Coturnix japonica: one gene and its partners. The protein of the gene in region 2 purifies or fractionates together with the protein of the main gene of each other region. This does not show direct contact. Links are inferred from orthologs where the notes say so. Each region holds a gene or a part of one and is shown on either strand. Other genes may lie near its edges. The genes, in order: RPP25, RPP40, POP4 and RPP30.

The links.
Region 1: the proteins of RPP40 (region 2) and RPP25 purify together in Homo sapiens (affinity purification with mass spectrometry; 3 studies listed by BioGRID and IntAct, counting the BioPlex papers as one, with this or other methods). This does not show direct contact. The link is inferred for Coturnix japonica from reciprocal best matches to the Homo sapiens genes RPP40 and RPP25.
Region 3: the proteins of RPP40 (region 2) and POP4 purify together in Homo sapiens (affinity purification with mass spectrometry; 3 studies listed by BioGRID and IntAct, counting the BioPlex papers as one, with this or other methods). This does not show direct contact. The link is inferred for Coturnix japonica from reciprocal best matches to the Homo sapiens genes RPP40 and POP4.
Region 4: the proteins of RPP40 (region 2) and RPP30 purify together in Homo sapiens (affinity purification with mass spectrometry; 3 studies listed by BioGRID and IntAct, counting the BioPlex papers as one, with this or other methods). This does not show direct contact. The link is inferred for Coturnix japonica from reciprocal best matches to the Homo sapiens genes RPP40 and RPP30.

What each region holds. Positions count from the first base shown.
Region 1 is NC_029525.1:1,714,103-1,721,810, forward strand, and holds RPP25 (ribonuclease P protein subunit p25), read left to right. Parts: upstream 1-3,188; 5' UTR 3,189-3,463; coding exon 3,464-4,075; 3' UTR 4,076-5,020; downstream 5,021-7,708. Other genes in the region: SCAMP5 (secretory carrier-associated membrane protein 5), read right to left, coding at 248-278. UniProt on the Homo sapiens protein: Component of ribonuclease P, a ribonucleoprotein complex that generates mature tRNA molecules by cleaving their 5'-ends. Also a component of the MRP ribonuclease complex, which cleaves pre-rRNA sequences.
Region 2 is NC_029517.1:63,867,882-63,876,056, forward strand, and holds the start of RPP40 (ribonuclease P protein subunit p40), read right to left. Parts: upstream 4,244-8,175; 5' UTR 4,229-4,243; coding exon 4,076-4,228; exon of another isoform or gene 4,015-4,075; intron 3,371-4,014; exon of another isoform or gene 3,247-3,370; intron 1-3,246. Other genes in the region: PPP1R3G (protein phosphatase 1 regulatory subunit 3G), read left to right, coding at 7,883-8,175. UniProt on the Homo sapiens protein: Component of ribonuclease P, a ribonucleoprotein complex that generates mature tRNA molecules by cleaving their 5'-ends. Also a component of the MRP ribonuclease complex, which cleaves pre-rRNA sequences.
Region 3 is NC_029526.1:7,092,737-7,100,688, reverse strand, and holds POP4 (ribonuclease P protein subunit p29), read right to left. Parts: upstream 4,632-7,952; 5' UTR 4,514-4,631; coding exon 4,507-4,513; intron 4,421-4,506; coding exon 4,368-4,420; intron 4,287-4,367; exon of another isoform or gene 4,266-4,286; coding exon 4,042-4,265; intron 3,595-4,041; coding exon 3,517-3,594; intron 3,315-3,516; coding exon 3,253-3,314; intron 2,969-3,252; coding exon 2,867-2,968; intron 2,403-2,866; coding exon 2,266-2,402; 3' UTR 2,021-2,265; downstream 1-2,020. UniProt on the Homo sapiens protein: Component of ribonuclease P, a ribonucleoprotein complex that generates mature tRNA molecules by cleaving their 5'-ends.
Region 4 is NC_029521.1:17,059,954-17,067,408, forward strand, and holds the end of RPP30 (ribonuclease P protein subunit p30), read left to right. Parts: intron 1-1,319; coding exon 1,320-1,349; intron 1,350-1,752; coding exon 1,753-1,790; intron 1,791-2,958; coding exon 2,959-3,038; intron 3,039-4,996; coding exon 4,997-5,103; 3' UTR 5,104-6,766; downstream 6,767-7,455. UniProt on the Homo sapiens protein: Component of ribonuclease P, a ribonucleoprotein complex that generates mature tRNA molecules by cleaving their 5'-ends. Also a component of the MRP ribonuclease complex, which cleaves pre-rRNA sequences.

The DNA of each region.
Region 1 (7,708 bases), on a different chromosome or scaffold from region 2:
TCCACCAAAGCTGTTCTAGTGCCTGATTTAGTGGTTGGCAACCCTGCTCATGGCAAAGGGGTTGGAACTGGATGATCTTTAAGGTCTCTTCCAAACCAAATTCTATTGATTCTTCCATTCTATGAAATCTGGGAGTTGCTGCAGCCCTACCCCATCCCCAGTGGGTTTGGGCACGAAGGTCTGGAAGGGGACAAGGCACACCACCCCTGTTTGGCTCGTGTTGAGCACACAGCCAACCCCGACTCACGCATCCAGAGGTAGTAGAGCCGCTTGGCCATGGTGCGGTGCTGCGGCGGGATCTCAGCGTCAAAGTCCTGGTAGAAACATGGCTTCAGGGGGATGAACTTGGGGAGCGGTGGGAAGTTATTCACCTTTTCTACAACAAGAAATCCCATTAATGAGGGGCGATGAGTGCAAAACAACCCAACCCCCCCCCCCACCTAGATTAGCCGTACCTGCCATGCTGGCACAGTCAGAACTCCTTGCTCTGTAGAGATGAGGGAAAGCAGCCGAGAGCTGCGTCAGAGCTGGAGGGAAGGCAGAGGACACAGATGGAGGCACTGAGGGGAGTGGGGCTGCTCCCCAGCTGCCCCCATTCCCCAAACTCTCCCCTCCCCCCTTCGGGCTCAGCACAGGGCCCGACTTAGCGCGGACACCTGGCTCAATCCCGGCTCCCTCCCCGCTTAGCACCCTGCCGATTAGCACAGCCTCCAGCCGCGTGGTTCGGCCCACGCACAGCAGCGGGGCTCCCTCAGCTCCATCCCCGCAAGGAAATGGCCTCACCGAGAGGCGAAAACCCACGGAAAGCGAAGGGACACCCACGCGGCGCGTTCCCCACTGGGCTCCAGCGGCCTCCCCGTGCCCTCCCGGTGCCCTCCCCGTGCTGCACGACACCCCCCCCCCCGCCCATCAGCCCCTTGGCCGTCACGAGCGGGTCCCCACGCACAGCACCGCTCCCACGCGTCGCGTCGCGGGTGGCGGCGGCCGCCCGGCGCCGCTCTTGCCGCAGCGGCCGCGCTCTCGCGAGACTACGCCGTCACCCGCCCGCCCCGCCAACGGGGCAGCACTCCGGATCTCGCGAGATAAGTTGGAACTGTCCAGGGTCCTGCCGCCGCCGAGCGTGGAGTGAATAGGGACGGGGGCCTATAGGGGGCCGAAGGCAGAGCTCGGGCTGAGAGCTGTAGGTCGTGGGAGACCCCCTATGGGGTACGGGGGCAGCAGGGCAGGAGAGACTCCAAATGAAGGAGTTTGGCATATTCCATATGGTTGGGTGACCTTCTGTAGGGGATGGAGAAATAGTTCATAGCTCTATTTGGGTCAGGGGAAGCTCTGGATGGAGCAGGGTAAGCTCCATATGGATTGAGGCAGACCCTCTATGGGGCAAGAGTTTGTCAGGCTCCACATGGGGCGTATGGATTCGAGACACTACACAGGGCAAGGGAGATCCTCCATGGGCAAGAGTTCAACAGCCACCATATGGGGGAGAACCTCCATAGGGTTTAAGTTGTGTATGCATTAGGATCAACCCTATGCAGGTCATGGATATGGTGAAATCCATATGTAACAAGGAGACCCTCTATGTAGTGTGATATGTATGGAGGGCAATAGCATCAGGGCGGCACCAGAATTAACATATCGCCAAGACTTGGTTGCTGCACCAACACTGAGAAGGGCATATTCTCCTCCTAGTCAGAGTATAACTAGCACAGTAAGGGGGACAGCCCAGCCATGACCCAGAGATTCATACCTGAGCTGAGGATAGTGGTCAAGCCCAACCAAGACCCCAGATCAACTGGCACATCTCTAGTAGATCCACACTCTCAAGGTCAAGCCATGAAGTAAGCCCAGCAGCCAGGACCAGCAATAGCTAAGCAGCTCTCCAGTCAACCCGTAGATTGAGGTCCATATGAGTAGCACCAGAAACAAGCTTAGCTATCCCTAAATGGGAGACCAGCTCACAATAGATCCCAAATTAGAGCTGAAAGCTGTAAATATGAGCTTACACAGGGCTTTGGGACCATACAAAGGTTGTGGGGCTGGGGTCCCTCAATTATTCCTCTTGCTCGTTGTGTTATGGCTTTACAAAGGGGTTTCAGTGGGGAGCCAGATGCATAGTGTCTCGCTTAGGGATGTCACTGTTATAGGTGCTGTCCCACGTGCAATGTGACGAGCACCTGAGACCTGAGCCACCCCGATGTGACGCAGAGATGGACGGAGACTTTCCTCATATCGCATGCTTCAACTTTCCGAACTGCTCCCACATTCAGCAGATGAAAGAAAATATAGCGAGGGCAGGTGGAGGGCAGGGGCTCACGTTACTGCTGCTCCAGCTTTCACCATCTCTCTCTCCTGTTTTAACCGATTCCCTGTACTTTTCATGTAGTGCTTTTATCCCCTCAGCCCTCCTTTTGTCCCTTTCCCATCCTGCTGCTCCTCAGCTTGGAATAACTGCTGTTGTCCTCCAGCAAACACACAGTGACAGGGTAATGAATGGCTTCAGATGGTAATTAGCGATGGAGCTGCTAATAACACGATTCATTTCCATTTTAAGTGCCGCAGAACGCTGCGATAAAATGGACCACGGGTGGCAGGATTTGATCCCACAGCGCAGTTTTCCTCCCTGCTGTGTGAATGGTTGTTGAAATCCTTCCTTGTTATTTTCCTAGGGGCTTTAGCATCTTTCAGAAGCAGTGTTTTGCCACAGAGGCTTTAATCTGTTTCAGCCACGCCATTGGCTCTGCCTCAGTTTCTCCTCTTGGGGTTGTCCCAACAGTGGTACCCACTCTTGCTGCATTGGGGCAGCGGGGATGGGGCTGGCCGATCCATTCATTTATTTATGGATTTTGCAAGCCCTATTCGGGGTGAAAATAATCCCAGGTCCTCCAGAGGCCGATAAGATTTGGCAGCAAGGCAATACTCGGCATCTCTTTCCACTGTGCAATGATCCGGAGGCTGGGGCGGGGGGAGCAGGGGACAACTGCTGCTGTTTGCGGGCGGCTTGGTGTCCTTGAGAGAAGGGACGAGGTTCTCTTTAAGGGGGCAGGACTTGGGGAGCATCACAAAGCCAGGAGAGAGCTTCTCCCTCTGCCCACCCAGGGATGGAAGCAGCAGCAGGGTGCTGGGATGGGAGGCTGAGCGAGGGGAGGAGGAGGAGGAGAAGGAGGGGAGGGAGGGGAGGGAGAGGGGGAGGATCTGCTAATTACACAGAACAGCTCTGGGGGCTGCTGAAGTCCAGAATGAAGCAAAGAGCGGCAGAAGCAAGCGCTGCAGAGGGAACAGAGGAGCCTGAGCACTGCCGAGAGCTGCAGCCAGCAGCGAACGGGGGCACCCAGGGGATCCTACAGCTCTGGCCTCCCCTGGGGACAGCCAGCACCAGGACGAGGAGAGGGGAAGGGGCTGGGGGTCCTGGGGACGTGACGTTGGAGCTGGAGGAAGGCAGCGGGGGCTAAGTGTGGGGTGAGGGATGGCGGCCAAGCCCATTGCCCAGTGTAGGATGGAGAACTTCCGAAAGGTCAGGACGTCAGAGGAGGACAGCCCCTTGCCCTTCCCTGACTTACCCCCAGGTGTGGTGGAGATGAAAGTGAAGGAGGGCAGCAAGATCAGGAACCTGATGAGCTTCGCCATGGCTCAGATGGAGCTGAAGGGCAGCAGGCAGATTGTCTTCAGCGGCTGCGGCAGAGCGGTCACCAAGACCATCACCTGCGTGGAGATCATGAAGAGAAAGCTGGGGGGTCTGCACCAGGTCACCAAGGTACGCTACAAAACCTTGCTGGAGGTCTGGGAGAACCAGGACCCGCTGCCTGGCACTGCAGCACAGAATCTGACCGTCCATAAGAACGTCCCTTCCATCTGCATCCTGCTCTCCCGTGACCCCCTGGACCCCAACCAGACGGGCTACCAACCCCCTGAGCCCAGAGAGGCAGGAGAAGACCCCACGAGCTCCTCGGCCAAGGGGCTGAAGCGGCCCCCACCGCCTGCCCGTGAGGAACTGCTGCCCAAGAAGCTGCAGGTAGCGGGAGCCAGCAGCCCGCAGGGCTCGGGGACAACAGACAGCCAGATGGACGGCCACTACTGACCCTATGACATGCTCACAGCAGGGTCTGGGGGGGCTACTGACCCCACGCAGAACACATCCTTGTATCCCACTGGCTCCCCATTTTATGAAGGGCGGCTGCAGTGTGTAGGTCTGTGGGAAAACCTCCCCTCTCCAAACTTTTCCTCCCTTTTGCCTGGTGCTGCGAGCACTTGTAGGGATGCGGAGCTACTCGTGCCTCCTGTCAGCCCTGCTAAATAGCCCCCTGCACAGCAGACCTCCAGGACTCCCATAGAGCTGAAGCATCCTTTGGATTCTCCCCAGATTGGGAAATGCAGCTGCATGCCTCCGCTCTGCATCGGGATGTCTCAGCCAGCTGCAAAGAGCCCATCAGAGTAACACCTTCATTGCAATTAACCCCCGAGAGGAGCTGTCAGGTTTATTAATGCTGGGCTCCGTGCCTCGTGGCTCCTGTGATTCATCCTGAATAGCACAAACAAGCAGATGGGTCCTGCTCCCTCTCACCCAGCTCCCTGCTTTGTCTCTGCTCCTTCCTCTCCTCTGTGGCATCGTTGCTATTTTGTGCTTTGCTCTGAAATACCCCAAGCTGATCCTTCCTCTCTCAGAACTGCTGCAGCCTGAGAGCCAAAGAAACAAGCCCTGGAGCACTGCTGTTCATTTCAATAGCAGCCCCTCCAGTGAACAGGAATGGAAATAACCCCTCTTCCCACATCATATATTCAAGTTTTTCCTCTCCCGGAGGTGTTTGCAGCCATGGTGAAAGCATGATGACGAAGACAACAGGGAGCATCAGGTGGATCATCTACAAGCTGATGGACAGATGCTGGGATGAAGAGGAACTTTGTAGGTTTGGCTGCGGATTATTCGCTATGGGCTGGCTCCCCAGAATAGCCCTTTGGAGTGAAACACCCGCTTTTTCTATGGGTAAAAGGAAACCAATGGAAAATAAAAGCTCTTTAGAAATAATTGAAGTATGTCTATGGGGAAATGGGGGGGGTGAGGGTGGGGGTCGTCTTTGCCACTGACCATGGCACAGATGGGTACAGTGAGGGCGAGACTGTGGCTGCTGCTGAGGCAGAACAAGGGGATCCTGGCCAAATCCTGCCTCTTGGGGATGAGGAATCAGGGCCAGCTTCTTTGCATGCCCTGGCAGTCATCTGGCCCCAGCTGACATGGCAAAGCCCCCCATGGAGCTCCATCTGCCCCACGTCAGCCCCTTGCCATCACGTGGGGACCAAAGCAATGCAGAGATGGGTTGTGGGAGGCCAACTGAACCCAAATCCACCTGGGTCCCCTGCCCAAGCAGGACAGATTCAGTTGGCTCCAGACAACGCAGCCTTGGGATGGAGTCAGCGGACATCACTGCTTTGCCAAAGGCTGGCTTGGAAAGTGCTTTGTTTGGCTGGGAGAGGGAATGGAAGGAGACCAGGGGAGCGAGAAAGAAGAGGAAGGGGGAGTAAAGGGGGGTGGGTTGTTTGGCAATGACCTTGTTATCTGTCTCAGCAGGCAGCTGCTCCTCTGGGCCGGAGGCTTGTGCTTATCTGCCCTGCCACAGATTGATTCATTTCACTTATCTACCACCATGTAATTGAACATTAATTTCCATTTGTTTTCTTATTTTTGTGGGGCTTTCATTCCCAGAAAGGAGGGGTTGGCATAAGAATTGGAGGGGACCGAACAGACCCCAGAATCAAATCCATGCACAGCTCAGCGGCGCTGGCCAGGTGCTGTGCATGCGATGCAGTCTGAGGCCAACAAGCCATTGCAGAACAGGCTGTAGCGTGCCCTCAGCCCCACAAGTAGATCAGCAGAAGCCCTCAGAGCAGCATCTTGCACCAGTTTCCATCTTGAACGAGGTTAATGAAGAACTGTGCATAACGAGATGGGGAAATCCGGGTTATGACACTCTACCTCAGTGATCGCAGATAGGGATTTCTGATCTCCTAACCAGCAGGACCCCAAAGCCTCAGCCTTGGTAAAAGCCAGGGGTTTTTGGTCTCCTAACCAGCACCAGCAGGACTTTGGGGGCAGAACTCAATAAGCAACTCAATCTAAGCATGAAGACTTTAGAGAACTAACAGTCCTTCAGCCAGCTCACGTTGCCCCCAGCAAGGAGAAAGGCAAGGAGAAAAAGAGAGAGGGAAAAAAAAGCCACTTATTTCACCATATTATTTTGTTAATGTCCAAAAATGACTGTTAATTGATTCAGTACACAGGCAATTTGGAGGCAACAGGAGGCTGGGGATTACAAATGCTTCGCATTGCTGGCTGCGTACCAAGGATTTCCTGCATGAAGAAATAGTTAAAACAGAATAAAAACGGACTGCAACTCCGAATATGAAGCATTTATAAATAGCAGGATGGCATCTGGCTCCACAGGGTCCTAAGGGGGTATTGTGAGTGAAAACAGAGCGGCTGATTGTCTGCTGTGGAGGCACAGCCCAAAGCGCCTACGAATTGTAATCTGGGGGTCATTTTGTGAGCTATAGGGATAGTGGCACAGCCTCACAGTGGCCTCAGCTGTGGGCAGCACACTGGTGTGTGTTTAGGGATGGGGATGCAATGGGTCTCACCAACACAAGCATCCACCTCGGGCTCACTGATGCTCTGAAGACAGCCTGGCAGCAGGGATTCCCTTTGGGAAAGCCAGGCTGCATTCAGCCGTGGAAAGCCTTTAATGCCAAGCAGCTGCAGGCCCTGATAGCCACCAAAGCATGGAGGGCCCTGAGGGCTCTGCCTCCCTCTGAGAAGCCAAGCTGCTGCTGTGCTAACCCAGCTGCTGGGCTGCTAACAGCGAGCAGTCTATTGCCAGGAAGGGCTCCATCCCCTCACAGCATGGCTGCCTATGGGCAGCTGATCCCTGGGGGATCTCGATTTAAAGCCTCTGGGGGCTCTAAAACACAACATGGGCATTCATATATCCATAATAGGATGGATGAACAACCGGCTGAAGGGCTGAGTTCAAAAGGTGGTAGGAAATGGGGTTACAGCAGACTGGGGGGGCAGCCTCGGAGGTGTTCAGGACCAGGTTGGACGGGGCCCTGGGCAACCAGATCTAGTAAAGGCGTATGTTTGGTGGCCCTGCCAGGCAGGGGGTTGGAACTACATGATCCTTGAGGTCCCTTCCAACCCAGGTCATTCTGTGATTCAGTGTGAGGTTCCCTGTGGCTCCATTTTGAGGCCAGTTCTGTGTTACTACAAACAATTTACAACCAAATTAGGACTCCAAGCTCTGGCTGCCAGCAAGCAGCATGTACCAGATGTATAGACATACCTTGTGCTGCAGCAGGCCCAGCCGTGCCAGGTGAATGAGGACAGGTACCATCCCACTGCCGGGCCCACCACCAGCATTGGGTACAACATGGATGCCACAGCATCAGACATCATAACAACCAGCACTCAGAGGAAGGCGATGATGGTGTGTACAGACAGGAAGATGTGAGGGGAGGCCTCATAGCTGGAACACCACACACCACCAACCCTACCACAAAATGGCGGCCGGCACCCACTGCCTTCCCGCCCATCCGCCGTCACGTGATAACGCGCTCCCGTTCCTCTCACAACTTTGTCCCCTCGGCGCCACCGTAGCCGTCCCCGCTCCCCTCCCCTTCCTCCCGCATCCCGCGGCCTCAGAGCGCGGCCGCCGCCCGGTGC
Region 2 (8,175 bases):
ACCTTCTGATTGTGAGACCATTGGAATTTTTGCCTGATGAACTGTTTCTCTTGCATTCCCAAATCACAAAGGTCCCATGCTGCACTTCTCACTGCTGCACGTTTGTGCAGCTCTGTGCTTTCACCAAGGATGAGCAGCAGAGCTTGGTCGTGAAAGCTTAGTGCAGTAACTTCAACCATCCTTTTTCAAGGCAATTCCAAAATCACGCGGTTGCCTATTTCAAGCTATGAAGTTAAGCAACCAAAACTGTGTAATAACTTAAAATAACCTAAGATTAAAAAGAAAGCATCATGTTCCCAGGCAGGAGTTGTTCCCTCAGGAGGATTCAGGTATCAAAGTGGTATTATCAGAAGTGAAGTTTAAATTTGAAGTTGCACTTTTTATCTATCTTGTGACACTCAAATTTGACTGTAGAAATAGATAAAAATAGTAATACTGGATACACCAGTTAAGAACAGTTGTTTTTCGCACATATGCCCCTGTTTCCTCACATTTATTTTAGAGTAAATCTTCTCTTTTCTCATTTTAGTCAACTCATTATTAGAATTATGGATGCCAGAGTTCTTCTGAGACATATATTTCATTGTATTTACAATTATAGACATGAAGTTCAATAGCCTACTTGCATTATACATTTCAAAGATATGATGTCATTGCTTCAGATACTTCTTACTTAAACACTTTTACAAATACTATTCTCCGTTAGTGGGCTGTCCTTATCATTCCATTTTTGATACATTTTTAACATTCAGACTACACTGTAGTCCTTCCTAAGCCTTATTTCTGCTCTGGGATCTAAGCGTAAAACAGGACCTTTTCACAAGCTGCCCTGTATTCAGCATGTATATTCCTCTGTCATTTGGAAAGTACTTTTCAAAAACCTCACTGAGACTTAAATGAGGATGAAGGCTTTCAAGTTTAGCCTCCTATGTTTAAGAAGTCTAAGCTTTTGCAAAATTATTGACATCCATGTTCAAATAACCCCGTAAACACCTATTCATGATGCGCATTTATTACCAGGCTTTGAAACACTTCTCTCCAGTCACCTGGAAGCTCTGTTATGAGAAATGGGCTTTACATGGAACTGATCATAAAATCACAGAGTTAAAGAATGGCTTGGGTTGGAAGGGACCTCAAGGATCATCAAGCTCCAACCCCCCCTGCCGCATGCAGGCCAGCACCCTCCACATCTAATATTAGATGATATTATCTGTTCTGGTCTTCATCATTTTTAAGACTGGAGGTCTCCCAAGCATTTATCCATTATTTTTCCTGGATAAACTGTTTGAGAACAAAACTAATCAAAAGTTTTGCCTCTACAGGTCATCTTTTTATCTGAGATCTGAGAGCTTCTGCATCTTTTAGTACACAAGCCATTCACAGCAAAACAGTTGTTATTTGCCACGGCGGGAGGAAAAATTCTGTAGAGCCAAAGTCTTTATATTCTGCCTGCTAGCGGTTTGTGTCTGGCTGAAGTTCCTGCCAATACCGCTGTTCTTGCTTCTGGCCAAATGTGTGAGGAAACAGGCAGTTTTAAACAAAAGTCTGGCAGTTTTAGACAAAAAAAATCCAGGCAAGAAACTGCATCGTCCATTCAATCAATGAAGCAGCAAAAATCACATCAGTGTGAAGATACAGAACTTCAAATAAGCTTCTGAACTGCACTGTTTGCTTGGAGGATTATTGCTCTCTGCAAAACATACTGAAAGGTCACCACCTCACTGCTATTGTCCACTGCATTTAAATGTGAAAAACAAAGCCGCTTGCACCTTGGCACAGTTCAGTGCCAATACTTTATGGATCTTCCTGTTCTGTAACATGAGTCAAGAAATGATGACTAAATGGGTTCAGTCATAAACCATAATGAAATCACACCCACTAAACATATGGCAGGAATGACAGAATGTTACATAGAGTCGTTAGTCTTCCAATTTGAAAAGAAGACAAGGCTCCACAGTTAAACAAAAATACTCTGAATTTGGCCAAGATAAACCTTTTGTTAGCAGACAGAGAGGGACTTGTCTTGGGAAACAGATGTATCCTTCTCGAGGCAGGGGTAAGAAATTTCATTTATTTCTTCGGTTGGAATAATAAGTAGAAAATGGCATACAAAAATTAAGTGAAAATAAGTAGAATCTTTGGGACAATGGATAAAAAAAGGAAAACTCAGAGAGAAAATTACTCTTGAAATAGGCCTTTGAAAGAGAAAGCCTAGAAGTCATTTGATTTAATCACTGAAACCTTTCAATATTCAGAAGGAAAATGAATCAGTGGCTCTTCAAGATTTACTCTGTTCGTTAGTTCATTCTTCCTCTTTGGTCATTAAGCTGCTTCTCTCTGTGACTCCAGCCTGATTACTAAAATCACTCCACGAGTTAATTAAGGGCTCCACATTTTGGTTCTCTAAGATTAACCTGGCTACTCTTGATCTCATTGAGTTATCCTTAGCTCTGCAAGTAAGTTTGAAAAGATTTGGCTAGGACTGCTCATATAATTAGGAAGTAGCGGCACGAGGGGGAGGCATTAGCTACCAGAAATCAATTAGTAATTGAGACTACACACTCTGTGATCTACTTGAAAGATTCTCTGTTATATTCTGCACTCTGTTACTGCAGTGTAAGCTAAGAATTACTCCCTTAACATCAGCTGATGGCATGAAGCAACATTTTCAGTGTGAATGGACACTGACCAACTGGTGTTGTAAACAGAATAACCTGGAACAGTAAAACCTTTCACTTCAACTGTGCTCATACATGTCTGTTGTTTGTGTAGGAGACAGAACAGGGTGTGAATGGCAACACTTCCTATTCCTGGACAACCCTTTCAAAAAAGAAGCATCTTCTTTCAAAGGAATTGCTTTTTGAGCTCCTTACAGCGTAGCGGCTGCTTGAAACATTTTCAAACCAAAGTTAATTTGAGCCCTTCTGCCTCACCAAGCAAAAAGATAAACAATTCAATTTTGGCACCATTAGGTTGCATTTACAATCTATCATCCTCACATTACAGACACCAGAAATGAGGTACTGAATCACTGAAGTAGCTGCCTTTAAATGCCTCATCAGTTTGGGAGTGAAAAGAAACGAGAGACATGTGGGATTCATCTTTTTTTTGTTTTAGTTGGATATGGAAATGGAGGCAGAAGCTACAGCAGATTAGTAGTCCAGATACCAGGAAAGGCAGCATATTTAGCTGAATTTATTCTTAAATATTTACTGTATGATAATCTGAAGTGTCTACTATGTACAGATGGCTCATAAATGGAAACTACCATGAATTATGCCAAACATGTACAGGGAACAAGGAGCCTCGAGCAACTTCATTACGGCTGCAACCTCCATTCGTGTAGACATGAACAGTGAGAATATTTTTGGTAAGCTTTAATCTCCCATCCTATACTCCTTACTCCATGTAAGTACTATGTACACAACAGTTTGCAGTACAAGTTTTAAATGTAAGATGGCTGTTGTTCAGCACGAACTTTGGCTATGATACTGGGAATTGCCACTGAAAGAAAGCAGCTTCATAAATTGTAGTCATTTTCTTACATTAAAAAGTGATCAAGGCACTTGCTTTGTTTTAAAGAATAACAAGTTCCTCATCTATTATAGATAGATAATAAACCACACCACTAGGTGGGGCTTCTTTTCTGCCTTTCCTACTGGAGGTGATGGAACTGCGGGACTTAATTCAGATTAATATGTATGATCTACTGCATTATTAGTCAATGAAATACAAAGCTCTGTACTGTGTTACAGACACCTGCTTGCTGGTATGTATGTGCATCTACTTAAAACAATCCCACTGTAAGCCATAAGAATAAAAATGGCTGTGAAATAAAGTACCTCTCTTACAGGATCTCCTACGAGATGCCTGTGATTCCATCTTCTAACACACTTCAATGCATAACTAACCCTAACTGAGGAAATGCAGACTCAGGGTTGTATTTACTCCTTGTGCTGCAGTTTGGAAAACGACACATGCAAATGAACAACTTTTAACATTGGATCTATGCAGCCTATACAGGTCTATACAGTGTTTCAAGAGAGGTGAAAGAAACAGCTGATGCACTACTTACGTAGGAAGCTGTGACTGCCCGGCCCTGCCCTTCTGACCAGATACCAGCTCTGACGTCCCAGCAGAGTCCAAGCGAGTTCATGTCTCTGTTGATTTTGGGTGAGGTACGGGCCTTCTCCTTGCGACAAACACAAAAACACAAAACAGAAACCATCTGGGTGCAAGTTCACATAGAACGCCCTTTATATAAGAACTACTCTGCGTGAGATGGAGCTCTGTTCACACTGAAGCCCAGTGCAATACAATGGCATATAACATGGTTGAATTTGATCCACATCAGCACACTTACTGAGGATGCTCGCCATCGATGCATCCAGATCACTGACAGCAAGCTCAACTGTTATAGATGGGAAGAAGAAGATGAGTTTTGAAGTGAAGGAAGCTGGGAGGAAGAAGATGACTTTTGAAGTGAAGGAAGAAGATAGTTCAGAACTAACGGTGCTAGAATTTGGGAAAAGATGTTATTAATGTAGTGTACAAACTGTGATGATCCCTGCATATCTATCAATCCCTGTAAACTGTTCAATATCACTTAGTAGTTTTTTTACAGGTTTTCTGTAGCAATAACAGGAGATTTTCTTAGTGGAAACTTGACTGGGAAGTTGAAGAGAGATGGTATATTTGAACAAGATACATTCTGTGTAGTGGGGAACTTTCTGCCTGGACGGACAGGAAAACCTAGTTCTGGTCTTGAAGGTTTGAAGTTAACATCAGAATTGCATAAAAAGAAATGATGGAAAGTGTATGAACAGTCTTTGGGATTAAATTGTGTGTCTGCGTTGAATCAACAGAATCCTCCTGTTACATGACCCTGGGTGTCCCCAGACTAATATTTTCATGTTCATTTTGTGTCCAGCGATGACTATTGATCCAAGGAGCTCAGTGAATGTATTAAATTGCACATCAAACACACCTCCCTCCCTGCAGTGTATGTCATAAAGATTTATCCAATTTCAGATCACACTCACTAATACGAGCCGATGACTAACTCTAAAAATCTGGTACTCCTCCTTGCGTGCTGCTGCCTCTTTTCAATTCTTTTCATGCAGGATGGGTTGTCTGAACTGCTTTTTCTAAACTTCTGTGAACAGTAGTCCTTCCTGCAGGCCTACTTCCCAGACTTGCACAGCATACAAGGAATGCACATTAACCCCAGAGGAGCAGACCCACCAGGAGCTCAGGCAGTACTCAGAGGGCCTCTGATAGGACATGAGAGGTTAAACTCTGTTAAACTTCTGTTAAACTCTTTGAAAGGGCTGACAATAGCAGGACACGGGGAAATGGTTTTAAGTTGAAAGAGGGAAGATTTAGGTTGGATGTAAGGGGGAAGTTCTTCACTAGGAGAGTGGTCAGGCCCTGGAACAGGCTGCCCAGGGAGGCTGTGGATGCCCCGTCCTTGGAGGTGTTCAAGACCAGGTTGGACGGGGCCCTGGGCAACCTGATCTAGTAAAGGTGTATGTTTGGTGGCCCTGCCAGGCAGGGGGGTTGGAACTACATGATCTTTGAGGTCCCTTCCAACCCGGGTCATTCTGTGATTCTGTGAGAGACCAGTAGCGATGGCGGCCATTGCCTACAGGGCCCTTGGGAGCACTGGGCCAGGGTGGGCAGCCAGAACTGCTCAGCCTAGGGACAGAGCTCTGGAAGGAGGTGGGCAGGCTGAGGGGCATGAGACCTTGCTAACTAGTTCCCTGAGCAGCCTGAAGTCTGCTCTCCCCATAGCCAGGGCTAAAGTTTTGCTGGCAGTTTTCCTTTTATCATTAAAGATGGACAAAGGAAAATGGTGGTTGATCTAGAGGTATCTTTTAGTTCTTCAAGAATAATTTATTGTTGTCATTGTCCTGACTAAGTGGCCCACAGCAGTGTTCCACAATATCCCCTTATTTGCTTGTCCTTTAATCCTTACCTAGAGGCTGCCAACTGTGCCATGACCAGCTGCCAGCTCTGTACAGCCCAACCTCTCCATCACACACAGACACCTCCCACTCCACCTGCCCTGCCTGTCCCTGCAGAAAGGCCCAGAACGGTCCATTGCGACACACCAGTCACGGGACTCTGCCCACCAGGTTTCATTGATGCCAGTGATATCACGGCTCTGGGGCTGAGCCAAGGCTTCTGGCTCCTCTCACTTGTTTCTCAGTGCTGCATGCTCTAGCAACTTTCCAAAGGTGCCTCACCACAGCCAGCACCTGATGTTGCGGGATCTCTCTAGCACACAGCCCTGAAACCAGCTGTTCACCTGGTCAGTCTTCATGTCAGCTTGGTTAACTCCAGGTGCCCCACAAGTGGAATGGGTGAGCTGTGAGTCTCACTTCCAGGCACAGTTGACAATGGGCTTATGTTGCATCCTCTTTTGGTCAAAGTCAGCATTAACAGCACAGCTGTCTGTTGTTCTGTTTGTGGCCTTCTGGCAGCGCATTGCAGGCCTCAGCTCAGTAACTCCATGGCTTACTTCCATCACAACGAGGCTGTCCAAAGACCCAAAGGGTGGCATAACCTGGGACAGGCTGGTTACGGGGCTGCTCTATGAGCTGAGCTGAAAGCAGAGCACCAGTGATGAGCAGCTGACAGCAAACGGCTATTAGTCATGTTTTCCATTGGCACCGCTGATGCCAGAGAGCGTCTGTCCTTCATTCCTGTTCCTATGAAGCTCCAGAATGAACTACGAACAAATGCTGCGTACAATGCCAGGAGCTGGAGGAGTCATTACTTGGCAGCAAGGCTTCACACTCAAAATATAACACAAAGGGTGTAAAACACGCGAGAGAGGAAAAGAACGGAGTTTAAGAACCATGTGTTTTTGGCAGCCATCCATAGAAATCACCACAGACAATAGTGATGGTGTGCACAAAGAAGAGAGGTTGGAAAAGGTCTCAGATACGGGTCTGAGCACATTAAATGGGTGTTAGCAGGATGCTGGTGGCCACGTGGAACCCCGGGTAAATAAAACTGATGGGAATTGGATGCCCCGTCCTTGGAGGTGTTCAAGACCAGGTTGGACGGGGCCCTGGGCAACCTGATCTAGTAAATGTGTATGTTTGGTGGCCCTGCCAGGCAGGGGGGTTGGAACTACATGATCCTTGAGGTCCCTTCCAACCCGGGTCATTCTGTGATTCTGTGAATTCAACTGGAATCTTATTAGACATGACCGAGACTTATGAGACGTGTGCCACCAGAGCTTCTGGCCTTTATTTTCTACGGGCACTGCTGGGTCCAAATGAGGGGGAGAAAAAGCAGCTTTAAAAAGTGGCTTAAAAAAAGTAATAACCCGACTTTAAGAAGGGAACGGATTTGTTGTTCAATTCACCTGTCTTAGGGGTTCTCCCCCGACGTTCAAGTCTCAAAGCTTTGCACGGCACAACTGGGATGTAAGCACGCAATCCGTGCACTTCTCTCCCTCAGGACTCTTTGCTCCTGTGCCCACGATCCGCAATTTGGGGCCCGCTTGCCGGAGCCGCTACTCGGCGGGTGTGCGGGGCCGTAACTCCTCTCTCCTCCAAAAGCCGTAAAACCCAGCACGTTGCTCGCAGCTCACTCCTCCTCGCTGTGGTAACCGCGGCCCCCGGCGGGACCTGGCCGCGAGGCAGCGGCGGCCGACGTGCCCGTCCGCCCGTCGCACCCTCCCCGTACTTCCTTATTGTTTGAGCCCGGGGAGGTCCCGCCCCGCCCGCGGCTCGGCGGCCGCAGCTCTCCGGGGTGGCTCCGGGCCCGACGGGGACGCGCCCCCCGCCCGGGGCCCTCGGCGGGGCCGTCGGATAAAGCGGTGCGCGCCCGCCCGCAGCCGCCACAGGGCCCGGCGGGGCGGCCCGCCATGGCGAGCCCCGCACGCCCGCAGCCGGAGCCGGCGGCCCCGGGGGCGTGGGGCGGCGGAGCGGCGGGGGAACGGCTGCTGCTGCTGGAGCTGCGCTGCGCCCCGCCGCCGTCCCTCGGCTCGGGGGAGGAGGAGGAGGAGGCGGGGGAGGAGGCGGCCGCGGGGGAGGACTGTTGCCCCAAGTGCAAGAAGCGGGTGCAGTTCGCGGACTCGTTGGGGCTGAGCCTGGCCAGCGTGAAGCACTTCAGCGACGCCGAGGAGCCGCGAGTGCCGCCCGCCGCGCTCTGCCGCCT
Region 3 (7,952 bases), on a different chromosome or scaffold from region 2:
ATCTGGAATTCTGTTTCTTGGCAAGGTCCGTAAGGCCATAGTTTGGTCACCACTGAGGGATGAAATGATTTGTAAATCCAGTTTTTCTTTCTGTTTAAGAAAACACATGAAGTTGAACATCCGTTAACTTAGGTCAACTATTGCTCACCAAGGCTCCCTGTGCTGACCTTCAGAGCCAAGAGGCAATCAGTGCAGCTGGGTAAGGGGAACACTCAGGTGTTTGTCACAGTAGAGAACCAGTTGCCTAGGAGAGCAATTGTTGCATGCTGGCCTCAGCTGTGCTGTGCAGAAGGCTGGTTACATAGTGCTGGTGGGCACTGGGCACCTCATTCTCTGCTGGGGTTTCATCTAGAGAAGGTTGCAGGGATGATGGTGCTAAAAAGAAGAGCTGATGTGTCGCTGAAGCCTTATACTCGCATCCCAAGGTAAGATCACTGCAGATTTAATGAGAAATTAATTATGGAAATCTTACTGTGTGGTGAGGGAGCATTACAAATAGCAGGAGCCAGGGATTAGCCCTCCTGTGGGGTGGGAGATGCTGCATTAGGAACAGTAAGGAACTGGAACTTCTTATTAAAAAAAACCTACATTTGGATGTTTGGAACACCTCGATGAGGTAAAAATGCCTCTTCAGGTGATTTAGCAACAGCAGTAAAGGTAGTTTGAATGCTTTGGCTGTTCAATCTCTTGTTAGGCTTCATTTGTCATCTGTGCTGCTAGCATCTAAGTACCTCAGAGACCTCTGAACACCTCTCCAGCACTATTCACTGTAAATAATTATTTCCTTACTGTTATTTACTGAAAGGGGCTGCTAAGCAGCACATCTTCCTGCCACTGAAGTAAAATGTAGAAAAGTGTAAATAGCAATAGCTATGGAAAATGCTGTTGTGCTCATCTGTGTGTCTGTATGGCAGAATATAGTATGTCCTCTGCAGCACAATGAAATGGGATCGTGCCTAATTCCAATTTGTGTGTCATTGCCATTAATGATGCCTAGTTAAGACATCTATTAAAGGTCTTTAATTAACAGGACTACGCCAATAAAGTTCCATTAGCTTCCCTCTATTAATTTAATATTATAGGCATTTAACAGATGTCTTAATTAGATGTTACACTGATAGCTATAAGCAAAATGAAAATGAAGCCTTTGTCCTGCAGAGAAAGTTTCTACTGTCACTTAAGCTTTCTGCCAATTTGTTGATATTTCCTTGTGGATTCTCAGAGAAATCTAATGGATTTCAAAGAACTTTGGGAGGAATTATGCTTAAAGGGAGATACCTTGATGTAACTACTTCAGAGCTCGACTAAGTGCCTGTTAACTTTAAAGTACTCGTGAACAGAATCCAAGTCCTTGTCTAGTGATTGCAAGTAGCTACAAGCCCAGAAAGAATCATGATTTCTCACCTGTGAGGCACTGTCCTGATTGAAGCACCTGTGGTTTAAGACATGTCTTGCTTGTTTAAATGCATGTGCTCAGTTAGAGGTTTCACCTCCACTTCTTGTGCATTTGCATTTTAACCATTACCCCAAACAATGTATTTTTCCATTTGGGTAGGTAGTTCTAGGGAAAAAAAAGCATAAATAGTTCCAGACTAAGATAAGAAAGTTACTGACCTTGGTATTTATCAGTCCTTGGAAGTCAGATACTAAAACATTCCCTGGTTTAGCGGAAAACAATCCAGAAAGCATTCTTGATACTCATAGGAGTTCTCATTGACCTGCCAGGACATGATACCTTTTGCAGCATAAATCACCTCTGTTGCTGACTCAGTAAACATGAAAGACATTTTTGCCCAATGCTTTCATTATAAGGTTTTTCAGTCTAGCATGGATACAAGCTGAACAGGCAGCAATGATTGATCCAGGAGCAATCACATAAAAGCAGTTACCAGCTGCAGTCTCCTTACACAGTGACAGGTGTTATTGCTGCCTTCTGAACGAAGCAGGCTCTGTAAGCAAGTTATAAGATAAAACATTCACTGAACAAATATACAGTCAAAATAGAAACAAAAACCAGGTAATCAGTACTAATCACAAGTTTAATAAAAGGCAGAACATTACACACAAGTAAAAGATACAACTAAGACTTCAGCAGTTTGACAGACTGCTTTAAAGATGAAACCAGTCATTCTTCAGTATGAAGAAACACTTCAGAAAAATCTCAGCTAGTTAACTCTGTCTTTCAGTCTGCCAGAAAACCTGTTTTGTAAACTGAAGGAGAACAGCAGACATCTTAATTAAACTTCCTTTTGATTTGCTATGAAATCATAGGTCAATAGTTCCTTTCAGCTTGAACTTCTTTGCAGACCGCTCACTTGCTCGAAGCTGGAACTTGCTTCCATAGATGTAGGAAATGAATCCATCAGTCTCCACACTGAATACGTTGTTAATTTTGGGAACAACTGAAAAATGGAGAAGTAGCATTATGCATAGATACTGGTGTACCAGGGAATACTATTCACATGCAGGCTTCAGGTTCATAACATGTCAAGGTTTAATGCTGCAGTGTGAGAAATACACTCAATACAGCCTGTACATTTAAGGGCAAAACTGACAGAATTCAGTCCTTGTTCACAAGTGTGCAGTAAGAGTTGCAGAGAACGATCTACAGTGAATCAGATGAATGAACCATGTGCATAATCATGTTATAAATCACTGGAAATATGTTTTTAAATTACTTCTAAGGTACATTATTGGGTTTTTACATGTCAGATAAAGACATGAACTTCTGCCACTATGCAAAGAATTACAAGCAGTGGTAAAGAACAATGTATGTATGTGCTCATACATTTACTCAGAAGTATAATAATATGATCGATTCTCAGTAACTCACATTATAACAAGCACTGAAAAACATTTGCCATACCTTTTAGTTTGTTGTCTTTAGTAATAATCTTGAAGACATGTTTGAATTCCTGTAGGATTATTCCCGTTATCCCAACATAAGATGGACACTTTGATTTTGTGACTGAAAGAACAAGAATAGGAATGTGTTAGAATAAATTCAGGTGCAGCTGGTTTGCTGTTCCATTATTGCCTCATCATTTTAGAAGTCTGAGATAATAGTCTGAAGTAATTATAGTGATAACTGGTAGAGCAGTTGAAAAGTTAAGCAGCACTGGTAAATGGAGAAAGAATCCATCAACACAATTACATTATCCTAGAGTTGATACTGAAAGGAATTCAATGAGCACCTGAAACATAAGAAAGTACAGCAAATCTCAGATAACTGCAGAATAAAGCAAACAATACCTGTAACAACAGCTCCATGGAGGTCAGCTTTCAGCAGTTTGCTCTGCACCATCTGTGGTTGCCTTGAAGAAAAGGGTAGGATCAGAGAGGGGAAAAAAATACATGGAAAAGCATGTTTATAAGGTGTGACTGTGCCTATTGAAATACTGGTCAAAGCTTACAGAAATAGCATATATCCTTATTAAATAATTGACATTTAAGTTTAATCAAATTACTACTTGAAATGCCTTAAAAAATGGTGGTGGTTAGATTAGCTAAACTTACGCATCTGGTTTAAGTCCATAACACAGGTCTCTGATGTATTGCTTCCAGAGTTCATGTAGTGGTAGAAATAGTTCATATCTGCAGTTAGAAGGCAAATATTTTACAATAACTTAATTATATATATTATAATATATTATATTGTAGATTGTCTTAGTAAGCAGAGTTAAAACTAAGAATTACACATGTTATCAGCTGCACAGATCACTTAGTAAACCACTCCAAGTAAAGCTGAATATGCTCCGAACAAACCCAAGGGGAGGGATGTGTTTAAGAGCTTTCTGCTCCTCTTTCTCCCCCTTGCTTCCTTTTAGGAGCAGCACTGGCCTTACTCAGCATGTCCTGGGTCAAGGAACATAATGCAAAATGGAGATTCACTGGTTGCAGCCATTCTGGGGATTAGAATTGAAGTCACAGGTGGCAGCACTTAGGAAAGAACTGGTCAGGGATGAGCTCATCCAACAGGCAGCCCAGGTTATAGCTGTGCTGTGGTTTAGTGCCACAGAGCACACAAACTCACTCTCATACCTCTGCTGCTCAGGCTCGATATCAAACAGCCCCAGCTCCCTCCTCTGTTTGGCTGTGAAGGTTTTTGTTTTCCTTCTCTTTGGCTTCTTCCTCCTCCTGCAGTGGTGCTCCAGAACCACGGCCTTCCGCGTTAGCACATCCTGGATGGCTTCGTCCTTCTTCTTGGGCATGCTGCGCTTCAGGAAGGCGCTCACAAACGCTCTGGCCTCCTCTGACCCTTGGGGCTAAAGGTGTTTAAAAACAGACTTTAATTAAATTAGAGCCCGGCTGCCCGCCGAGCTGAGGCAGCGCTGGGCAGAGGCTGTGGGGGTACATGGGAGCGGTACCTGTAGGCATAGCTCCTTCGCCGCCTCGCGGGGCAGCCCGCTGTACAACACACCTGCGGGCAGACAGCGGGCTCAGCCGGCCCTTCATCTACCTCCTCATCCTCATCCTCCTCCCGTCCCGTCCCATCCCTGTACTCACCCTCCATCTCGATGCTCCGGCGCAGCCGTGACGTGTGTGCGACCGGGGCGGGCCTGGCTGCATCCCCCCCTTCCCCTCCAGTGCGGCAGGTGGAGCTGCAGGACAGTGCCGCTCTATCAAGCGCTTCCCAACGCTCTGTGTGCCGGGGTGGGGGCTACGGAACCCGAGCTCAGCCCCCTGCAGCAGTAGGAACTTTGGGCCTGAGCATGGCAGTTTAGTACGAGGATACACATCCATGTGCACGCAGCATCTCCTGCTCTTCCGAGGGGTTCGCCCCTTCCAGCCCTGCTGCACTCCCACACCTCTTGGCACAGAGGTGCTCTGGAAACAGTACCACAAGTTCCTCAGCTTAGCAAGTCCAAGCTCACATTAAAATAGAGGTGTTTGTATTCCTATCACGGGGTGGGTATCAGCCACACGTGTAACTAAGTGCCCCCTGGGGAAGGAGGCTGACAGAGCTGCCATGACAGAGCATAGGAAATGTGAGCATTGTGTTGAGTGCTGCTGTGGAGCACAGAGGTACTAAAGCAGTGTGTAACAAGGGACAAAACTGCAGATAAATGTGTATTTGTAGAGAAAAAAAGGCCAGTCCCTTCAGATTAATAAGCACAAGCACTGGTTGGTTTGTGTAACAACCAGAAAGATCAATGTGATGGAAAGGTGATACAAGAGCTGTAATAATAAAGGGACTAATACAACAGAATGGTGTTAAAAAGGAAGGATAAAGGTCTGCTCACCCATCTCTGAAGATTAAGGTCACAGGCTTCACCAAGGAGGGATCTCCAACCAGAGAACCTTCCCTGGTGGCAGTCAGCCCTTAAATGAGGTGTAAGAGGTGCAGCCAGGCTCCACCCTTCCACTCACAAAGAGAATTGCCTCCACTTGTGCTCTCAGGGCTGAGCAGGTCCTTTCTCAGGTGCCCAGTGATTCAGGCTGGGACTCAACAGTTCCCATACAGCGTGTATGAAAGGTCTCTTGGCAGTGTAGGATGTTGCCACAGCAAACAGGTGCCTTGTTTTTACAAAGCAGGGACTCCTTGAGTTGTCATTGCTATTTAAGAAAAGATCAGTTTTCATGAATGGAGTGCCAGGATGAACGCTATGGGTCTTCAGGGCCGTATGAGTGCTCCTTGGCTGGATTTATGCTGCAGTTCCTAAGGCACTTAAGGGATTAATAGTCAAATCGGTGTTGGTGATGCCAGTGTAGTAAATCCAATGATCCAGGCTAAACAGGTGCCTGGGGAAGCCAGTCTCTTCCAACAGCTCTACATCTTCATTTCCCAATCTATCTTCAGAGACAGTGTCTGATAGAGCTGGGTCAGCTTGTTAGTGTGTGTTCCAGGGAAAGGGCTCTGAGCTGGGAGTGGGACTCAATCAAATAAACATGAAAAAGAGCAGGAGGAAAAAGAATACGTGGAAATATTTTATGGATCAGAAAGGAAGAGAAGGCTCAGAGAAATGAGGGAAGATGAGTAAAAAGGGAATTTGGAATAAAATCAATGCAGAAATATGTAAACAGAAGTGCAGATAATTCTAATGCATGTTTCTGGATGTCTCCACCTCACTTAGTGTCAGAAGTGTCTTAGTCTCAGGCCTTTGAAGCTTTTTACTTTTTCAAGTAAATCAGCTTGCAAGCACAATACAAGTTTATGGTGATATAAACCCCTAATATATATTACTTATTCCCCTTTGCAGGTGCTAGCATTGGTATTTCTTATCCCATTAAGTCTGTGTATGGCTATATTTATTGCTTTTTTAGTCTATGTATCTATGTATTTGTGAACACCCAACAATGAACCACCATACATGTGTACAGCAGGGGGCCATGTTGCTTCGGCTGTCGGTGCGTTGAGTTACAGTGGGTGATGGGAGAAACGAGTGCAGGCCAAGGCAGGTAACAGCAATGTGCTGGGGGAATTTCAGTGATGGGAAGCACAGAGAGCTACAAGTGAGGTGCAGAGTATCCACCTGCAGAAAACAGAGGTGTTTGTATGATGTAAGAAGAGATGATTGTGGTGTTGCTTTGTTTGTTTGTTGTTCAAGAGTAATTGTGAACTGAAGCTGGAGATGAGCAGAAGTGAAGTGATGTGCATAGGAGGTGACTGGGCTGTAATCACGGACTGCTTTTCCTGATTGCAGCTGATACAAGAAACAGATACTGTAATTCACCAGAAAGAGCATCTCAGCCAGCACTGGAGTTCTTAAGATCAATGCAGTTTGTTCCTCTTGGCCAAATTGTATTAGCAGTCACATTTGGTCCCTTGGGACAGGTATACTGGTGAAAATAATTGCCGCTTTAAACGCTCCGATCTGATTTCCCTTACCCAAATACCAAGTTGTTAATACATTTCCCAGCCCCTGGCAGTGCTGAAGCAGTGAGTGTTCAGCCAGCTTAACTCCTGCCTGCTTCTCAGCACTCCTCTGCTCCTCACCAGAGGGCAGCCCAGCACCGAGAGCGAGCCGTCCTGCTGCAGGGCTGCCTGCTGAGAGCTCCAGACCCGCTCCTACACGGGGCAGAACCCAGCTCTATCAAGTATTAGGAGTCAAAAATTGCTTTGTCTTTGGAGAAAATGTGGCTGTTTGCAGCTTCTTGCAGCATACATGGCTCCAGTTTTCACGTACACCAGCCTGTTTTACATCACAGTAAATTTATCTGTGGAAGAAGGCTTTGGGGGAATTTCATACCTTTTTTTTCCTAGGAAATGGTTGTTGAACTCTGCAGGTCTGTGTGATACGGTGTGGTTGTGTTGATTGTGCACTTTCCCAATGGTAAGTTTTGGCCAAAGATACATTACATCATCCAGTGCATCTCTCTGTAGGGCACAGGAGCCCGCTGTGCTGCTGGTGGCACTGGGAGAGCGTTCCCAGGGTAGGGCAGCCCCTGCCCCATCAGCCGGGCTGCAGCGTGGGGATCTGGGCTGAAATCCCAGGAAATTTGAAAAGATTCATTAGAGACAAATTTCTCATCTTTGCTCTGTAATGAGGCATCCATCTCCGAGGCATCGCTAGCTGGCAAGGCCCTGTTCCTGCCATTCTCTTTCAAAGTAACACAATTAGGCTGCCAGGACTGACATTATTTTTAATAAAATGAGTCAGCTTGCACTGTCCTTGCCGAAGAGATGCATTTCCATGTCCACACTAATAAAGGTGTCAAATGCCAAGGCAGCCGGTATCATTGGGTCTTGCTGCTTTGACTGTGTCTGTCACAATTCCCCAGTGTGCGCCGAGTCCTGCCCCCCTTACGTGTGTGTCCCTGGGAACTCAGGTAGGCCGGGGTTATTTGGGTGTTGCTTGTAAACGTATTAGCTTTTTATGACCAATTATAAAGGTGTGAGTGGCAGTGGAACAACTAGCCCAGAATACAGTGGAAGAATTCAGGCAGCTCCCACTCAGCAGAGTGCAGCTGATGGCACTGATCTGTATGCTGGGGAGCCACGCTGTATTTCC
Region 4 (7,455 bases), on a different chromosome or scaffold from region 2:
CCTTCTTTTCCTCCTCGACACATGAGGAAACCTTGGGCACAGTATGCGCAGTACAGTCATTTCCGTGCAAATAGCTCTTTCATGGTTTGAGTTCCTGCTGTGCACAGAGCATTTTCTTCCAACAACTGCCCTGCTCTTTGCTGGGGGGCAGTAAGATGAGCGAAGCAGTACTTTGGGAAGGGATCATAAGCCCCACTGTGTAAGTGAAGGTAGTGTGGTGTGTTGGTGGTACTGACGTCAGAGAGGGAAAGTCTTTTGTTGCCTTGGTATCAATTTCACTCTCACCCACTCAAGCAGGAATTCCCAAAGCCTTTATTTGAGATATATTATTTATATATATATTACATATTATATATATATATATATATTTTTTTAGTGCGTGGAATCTTTTTTTTCTGCTGCAGTTTCCACCTGAGCTAAACAATCTTCCCTTGAGTGAGCATCCTTAGAGGCTTAACATAAGAGCACTGGCAGCTGACCTGTGCTATATGCCAGTCCATGAGCAGTCATGTACCTGCTGTGTAGAAAACCTTTGGGAGTGAAGGAAGGAGGGTGTCTTTCTGCCTGGTGCTTTTCATGGGGATTCAGGTTTGAGGAAACACAATGTATGGTGTGAGGTGTGAATTGGCTGCTTTTACCTGACTGCAGACTGGTTTCCTCCATCAGTGTGAGTTTGATTAAGGCAACATGAATGGGTTGGGTTTTGCTGCAATGCAAAGAGTAGGTTGAAAATTTAGGAGTCAGACTTCCTAGAGCTGTGGTTTGTGTGGGCTCCTGGGATTCTCTTACAAGATCATCTGTGCCTTCCTTAGTATAATGCTCAGCATCCACTTTGTGCCTGACTGCTCTTGCGTGTATCCCTGTCCCTTTCAGCTACTATCTCCAAAGGCAGTAGTACTTAACACAGTGTGCACAACTCTGCATTTCTTCTTTTCTCTTTAAGTCCCCTCAAAGTCCTCTATAAGAGATATGAGTGCACTTGTTTAATAGCATCACTAAGATTTATACTTCTTGGCCATAACCCTCTAAAAGGTGAGTTGCTTATTCATCTCAGAGCTCTCTGAGCTTAGCTTTATAGCTACAAAGGAGGACTTGTCCATGTGGCCCTTTCTCTGTAGAGTTTGGGGAGGTAGCCTGGGCTTATTTGTTTCCTCAGACTGGTGGAGTTCTGTTCATCTGAGTGCACCAGACAGCCACAGTTAATTGTGTTGTCAGCCTGAACTTAACTAATGCTCATGAAGTCGTTGCTGCTTGTAAGTTTTCCATTTCTTGATGCTGACAGATGAATGTTTATTCTTTTGTTCTCTTGTGTTTTGCAGAACATCGTTATATCTAGTGCAGCTGAAAGAGTAAGTCCTGGGCTTTTGTTCAAGTGAAAACAATTTGAGCATTTATTGCAGCTCTAAATACTTAAAATTACAATTTTTATGTGTTAATAGATAACTAAAGTTCTAAGATTGCCACCTTGTATGCTTTTGATCAATTGTTTTACTGAAGAATTGTGTGGGGTTTTTTTTAACCTGTTTGTTTTGCTTTGTTTTTGTTGCTATGGTATTTTCTGTGACAGCTTTCTTACAGAGAGGGACTCTGTTTTGCAAAATAGTGGTATTTTCCTGATTGTAGTAGCACATCTTCAGCGGCTTGCTATTAGGTAGCATCTAATTTTGCTTTCCTGAATGGCTGCTTCTGCAAATAGCTTTGTACTATGTGCTCACATTCTACCAGCCTCCAACCTTCTTTGTTTTGTTCTAGCCTCTAGAATTACGAGGTCCTTATGATGTGGCTAATCTGTATCCTTTTTCCAAGTCAGTGATGGCAATTAATAGTAACATGTGAAAGTTGATTGGTTTTGAGATTTTTCCATTCCTTGCTCTCCTTGAACTTTACCCAGTGATGCTTGTTGGTGACTAATTCAATGACTCAGAGTTCTGCGTGGGTGTGGAAGGAGCAACACAGATCTTGGTCATGGAGTGACATGAACTGTTGCTGTAAATAGTGATGTCTGAGAATGGTTAAAGATGAGTTCTGTGTTGTGATATGTGTTGATATTTGTGTTGAGTGTAAGTGGGAAAAGGAGTAAAAAACCCATAATCATAGATCTTTGAATAAAAAAAAAACCTTTGAAGTCAGCGAGCACTGCTGACCAAACCAAAAATTACTTCTGATCTCAAAGACACTCAATCTTTGATAGAATAAGCCATAAAAATCATGTTTTTATTTAGGAAAAATGAGGCTGCTGTCTTAGCACTAGTTACTTTGGCTCTTAATTTTTCAGTCCTTAGTTCCATATGTACTATTAAATGACTATTAAGTGAAGGATTGTGTTCTTGACAGAAAGCATCATTCCTCCCTTTCTTACAGGAATTCAGATGTGTTTTTCCTCCTCCCTGCCTGTAGGTGTGTGTCCAGACTGCCCCTGGAAGGGGAGGCATTTGCTCTGAGTTGTGAGAACTGTGTGGGAGGGTGTTCAGGCTGGAAGGATTTTACGTGTGACATTTTCTTCCCTCTTAAAAAGAGCAGTGAAGCTTAACTCAAATTAACATACCTAATTTGGTGTCATCCCTATTCAAGGTGGCTGGGAATTTTTCAACATAATGCTGTTGTATCAGACAGTGCCCTTTCCCACAAAGCTGAATTTTTCAAGGGGGTAGCTTTTTATTTGATATTATGTTCGAAATAAAATTTCTTATGTTGACAGACTTTTGTTTTCAAATGACAGCTGCTTGTCTGGAAAAAAGCAGCATTGACAGGAGCCTTCCAGGAGGGCTTCTGGGGAACTGCAGCCGGGAGAATTAGTTGCCTCAGGTCTCTGCCTCTGGGTAACCTTATGCAAAATGTCACTCTAAGTTATGGCGTTGCTAATTCCCAGTTATTTGTAGAGTAAGCAAATCTGTCATACAGTCTTCCTTGCTCCTTTTATTCCTTCCTGTGCATTTTGATCCTGAATAAAGGTGACAGAGGTTTGCTGTTTGGCCTGTCAGAAGGCGAAGCCAAGGCAGCTGTATCCACCAACTGCAGAGCCACCATACTTCATGGAGGTAAGTGAAAAGCATGTGCAAACTTAAGCAATTCTTGCATTTGTTAAGGTAAGTTCATGTTAGTTCATGTTTTCCAAAAGGTCTGAGACCATAGAGAATAAGTCAGCTTGGACTTTTTTCTGCCTAGTTCAGTGAATGAAAAGGAACTTCTGCAACAAGAGATGATTGCTGTGCTAGCAAATCACTGGCTGAATTGGTGGTACTGTCTGTACTGGAGTACTTGCTTTACCACATTAAAAAGACTCAAAAATTGTTTAGCTACAACACAGATCAGCCTGTTCTCCTGCGTTTTGGAGATACCTTTTTTTTTTCAGAAGGAGTATAATGCTCGTATCTGTGACAGCAGCAGAAACTGTGTTACTGAATTCAAAACAGGTTCACCCAGATTTTTTTTTTTTTTTTGCCCTTACTTTCTTGCAGCATGACTACAGAAGCAGCCATTGCTGTGTTTCTCTGATACTTCATTATTTGATCTACTTCTGACTAGCTCACTTTTTGGTGAGGACCATTTCAAACTTGATGCAAACTGTGAAGTCCCATGTGTCTGATGCTTAGGAGGAGGTGTTTCATATGGTGTACCATGACTTTAAGTTCTGGTGAAACAAAGCTTGCTTTCTTATCCTCAGCAGAGGAAGTTTGCATTAGCTTTCTTCTGCTTTACCTGTCCATTTTAATATTGAAGAAAGTAGAAATGTAGCATTTTGCCTCCTGCAGAAATTAGAAGGTTGAATTATGTGTCCAGATGGCAGTTTGTTCTCTAGCCATCATATATACTCTTGCTTTGCTCTGTGGCCCTTTCATTCACCTTCTCTAACCTCCCTTTCACTTGTTTATTTGCTGGTTCTTGGTGTTCCTAGATTTTTGATGTGTATTCCAATGGCAATTTAATTTTGTCACCAAGTTGTGTGTCTAGCTGTTAATTTCTGCTTCTTCCAGGATTTGTTGGATAGGTAGGTTCTAGTCTTAACAACTTCAGCTGCTCTAAGCTGCAGACACATGGTAGAATTTGGTTAGCATTTGTTGTTTCAGTAGAATTGCAGTTTGAATATACTGTAATTCATAGTGAGTAGCTATGATCTCTTCAAGAATGCATTTCTATGATCAGGGTCATCCATCCTGCTATGCTACTCATCTACATTGTGACAGTGTTGGAAGAATTTCTGTTAAGCTTATGTGGAATTTCTCAAGACCTTCATTTTTCTTATCTGTGAGGTTAAAAATTAATAAATGTAATTTTCCTGTGCCCCAAAGAATAGTAGACCAGAATAAGTCCATATATTTTGGCAAAGCTCTTATGAAACCACTTTGCTAGCAAGAGTATTTGTTAGTAGCCTTGTCTGCCTTAAATCTTCAGTGTTTGCAGAGAAGCATTGTAGTAGCGGTTCTGAAATTGGACTGGTTCTACTGGGTGTTTGGCAAATGTTTGAGGAGTAGCATGAAATGGTAATGCTGTGAGTTCTGTAAATAAAAGATGGTTGAATGCTATGAAGCCACTTACTTGGTATGTGTATGTGAACCTCTGCCAGTGTAGCTGTGCCAATGTAGTCTTTTTAAGAACCCTGAAGTATGTGAATGTTTATTTATTTTATTTGAGAACATTGTTTTGCTCAGAAATACTGAAATGCTTTTTGACATGTGTTCAAGAATGTGTCTTTCTGTCAGTATGGAACTAATGAAGCCTGCTTGCCTGTGGTTTCAAGTATGTCCCCCCCAACCCCCCTCCCCCAAAGTCCCAGCAGACCTCAGTTTTCCCTCATTCTTGCTCTAATTCTGCACCCACCCTCATATTTCCCACTTTAGTTTCCCAAGTGTGTCCTACGTCCTGACTGTGCAGGTGGCTTACCTGCTGCGTGAACTGCATGGCTGGCTGTGAAACATGCTGAATTGCAGCAAGCATGCATTAAGTGCATTAGTATCAGTTTATTTGAGGTAATTCAGCTTTTGTTTGTATGTTCCAGAAACTCGGAAGAGTGCCTGTGGGGTAGTTTACACAGTGAAGAAGCTTCACAAGGTTGAGGAGGAAGAAACAGTGCCAGCCTGCAAAAAGGCTAAGACTCAAGCTTGAGCCAGTTGTCAACAGGAGCCTCCATCCAGTCTTTACCCAGGGGCTGAGTCTTCCTGCACCCTCCAGTTGGCTTGGTTCTTCAGTTACTGATTTTTTTTAGCTTGAAGAAGAATTATTCTTTTGGTTTCCAAGTGAGGAATTATGTTGGAATGGGACTGCTGAATGGTATTTTACCACATCTGGAAGGTCATCCTATTGCTGGGCTTCTGGACAAGGGCAGGAGGGCATCACTCCACCTTGTCCTACCTCTTCTGGAATCATTGTGAACTTGCTCAATAGAAAGTATCCCTAAGGCAGAAACATCATGTCAAGTGTACTTTTTTATATGAAAAATGTTTTCAAGATGGCATGCCTGTTAAGTCTCCCTCTTATAGTACCTGAAGTTTTAAAACATGTCTCTGTACTAAACCTTAGAACCATAAGTCAGTAAAGTGTACCTTAAATGGCCTGAAAGAATAATTGTGCAGTAAAAACTTTATCTGCTTTCTATTCTGTTTTGTGATCAATAACAATCCCAGCATGTGGTTTGCTCACTAGGAGAAATCTTGAGTTTGTGTCACAGGAACACTGACTAAATCAACCTGTTAGACACACAGTGCAAAGGTTATCTCCGTCCTTGAAATCAAACTTAAAGCCAAACAGTAACATGAGACGTTTGCCATGGATAGGAAGAAAGAGCCCAAGGTTATCCTCAGGGTGTGCTCAGCATGGTGTGCAGTTGCAGCATAACAGCTGCCTCACCTGGACCTGAGCAGTCTCCATGTCACACAACTTTTACTGTGTCATGTTGGATTTTTTTAATGTCCAGATTGTTTTGCTACCTCCTGACTTTCTAGTTTTTCTTCCTGTTAGTGCTTCAGTAAATCTAATCCAAAAAAGCAATTATAACAGATTTCTTCTCAGTGAAGCGTTTTCAGACGTCATCCAAATGTTGACTCAAGTTTCTCTTTTGACCAATATAAAAATTACATAAAATGTTGTACTTAAGATGCTTTTGTGCCAGCTTTATTCTGAATATTAAAAGCCTTGGAGCATGACCAGAGAAGATCAACAGAGCTGTGAAAGGTCTGGAACACAGGTAATATGGGCTGAGGGAGCTGGGGTTGTTCAGTCTGGAGAAGAGGAGACTCAGCGAAGACTTTATCATTCCCTACATGTCCCTGAAAGGAGGTTACAGTGAGGTGGTGGTCAGCATCTTCTCCCAGGCAGCAGTGGTAGAACAAGAGGTAATGGCCTCAAGTTGCAGCTGGGGAGGTTCAGATTGGATATTAGGAAAACTTTCTTCTCAGAAGCAGTGGTGATGTACTGGCACAGGCTGCCCAGGAGATGATGGATTCACTGTCCCTGGAGGTGTTCAAGAAAGGTGTAGATGTGGCGTGGTTAGTGGGCTTGCTGTTGAGGGGTAGATGGTTGGACCAGATGATCTTAGTGGTCTTTTCCAACCTTAATGATTCTGTGATTCTCTATTCTTATCTGACAACAAGCTGAGGGGCACAAGTTGTGACATGTAAAGTACTGCAGAAACCTTGCAGTGAGTTATCTCTGAGCTCTTAGTAGCTAACGAAGCTCTCAGTAGGCTCATGGTTTTATGAAATGCTGGTGTAAGTCACAACAGCTTTTGCATCATTCTACTAGCAATAAAGTAGTTTTTCCTTTGTTTTTATTTTGCTTGTCAATGTCATGATAAGAGTCTATTTTATTACTGGTGTTGAGATACAACATCAATATTATTGATGTTATATATAGTGGCTTCTCATTTATGGACTTGCCTCCAAATTAAGGTTCTAACCAAATAAAGAAGCACTGGAAATGTGCCTGCTCAATGTAACTTTTATGAGTTATGTACTATACCATGCCTTGGTGTGAGCGTGAGAAGAGTTTTGTAACTAGCGTGCAGAAGGAAGCTTTTGAATGCAAGTTATTCTACTTTCACTTGTTTGACCTCAACTAGGGAAATGTAACATCTGCATCTTTGCTCTTTAAGTAGATACAGCGTTTCAGGAACTTTGTGGGAAGTTTCTTTTTCTCCCAATTTCCAGGAGCACTGAACTGCTGCTCAGTTAAGATAGTCAAGATGAGTTAGACAGCACTGATGTAATTTCTGTTTTCTGGAAGATATGTTCCCAATGTCCAGATGATTGTGCAGAAACAAGTACAGAAATAGTAGCTTGCAGAGGGAGACAGCAAGCAGAGACATACCATAGTTCTTATGGGGGAAAAAAAAGTGTGTTTTCAGGTGACACAAATTACGGTGCTTGCTGTGTGAAAAGTCTCATCTGTCTAAATCTGTTGCTTCAGTGCAGGGTAGCTGGTTGCAGACAAAATAGGCATTTGTTCTGCCTGCTTCTCTGT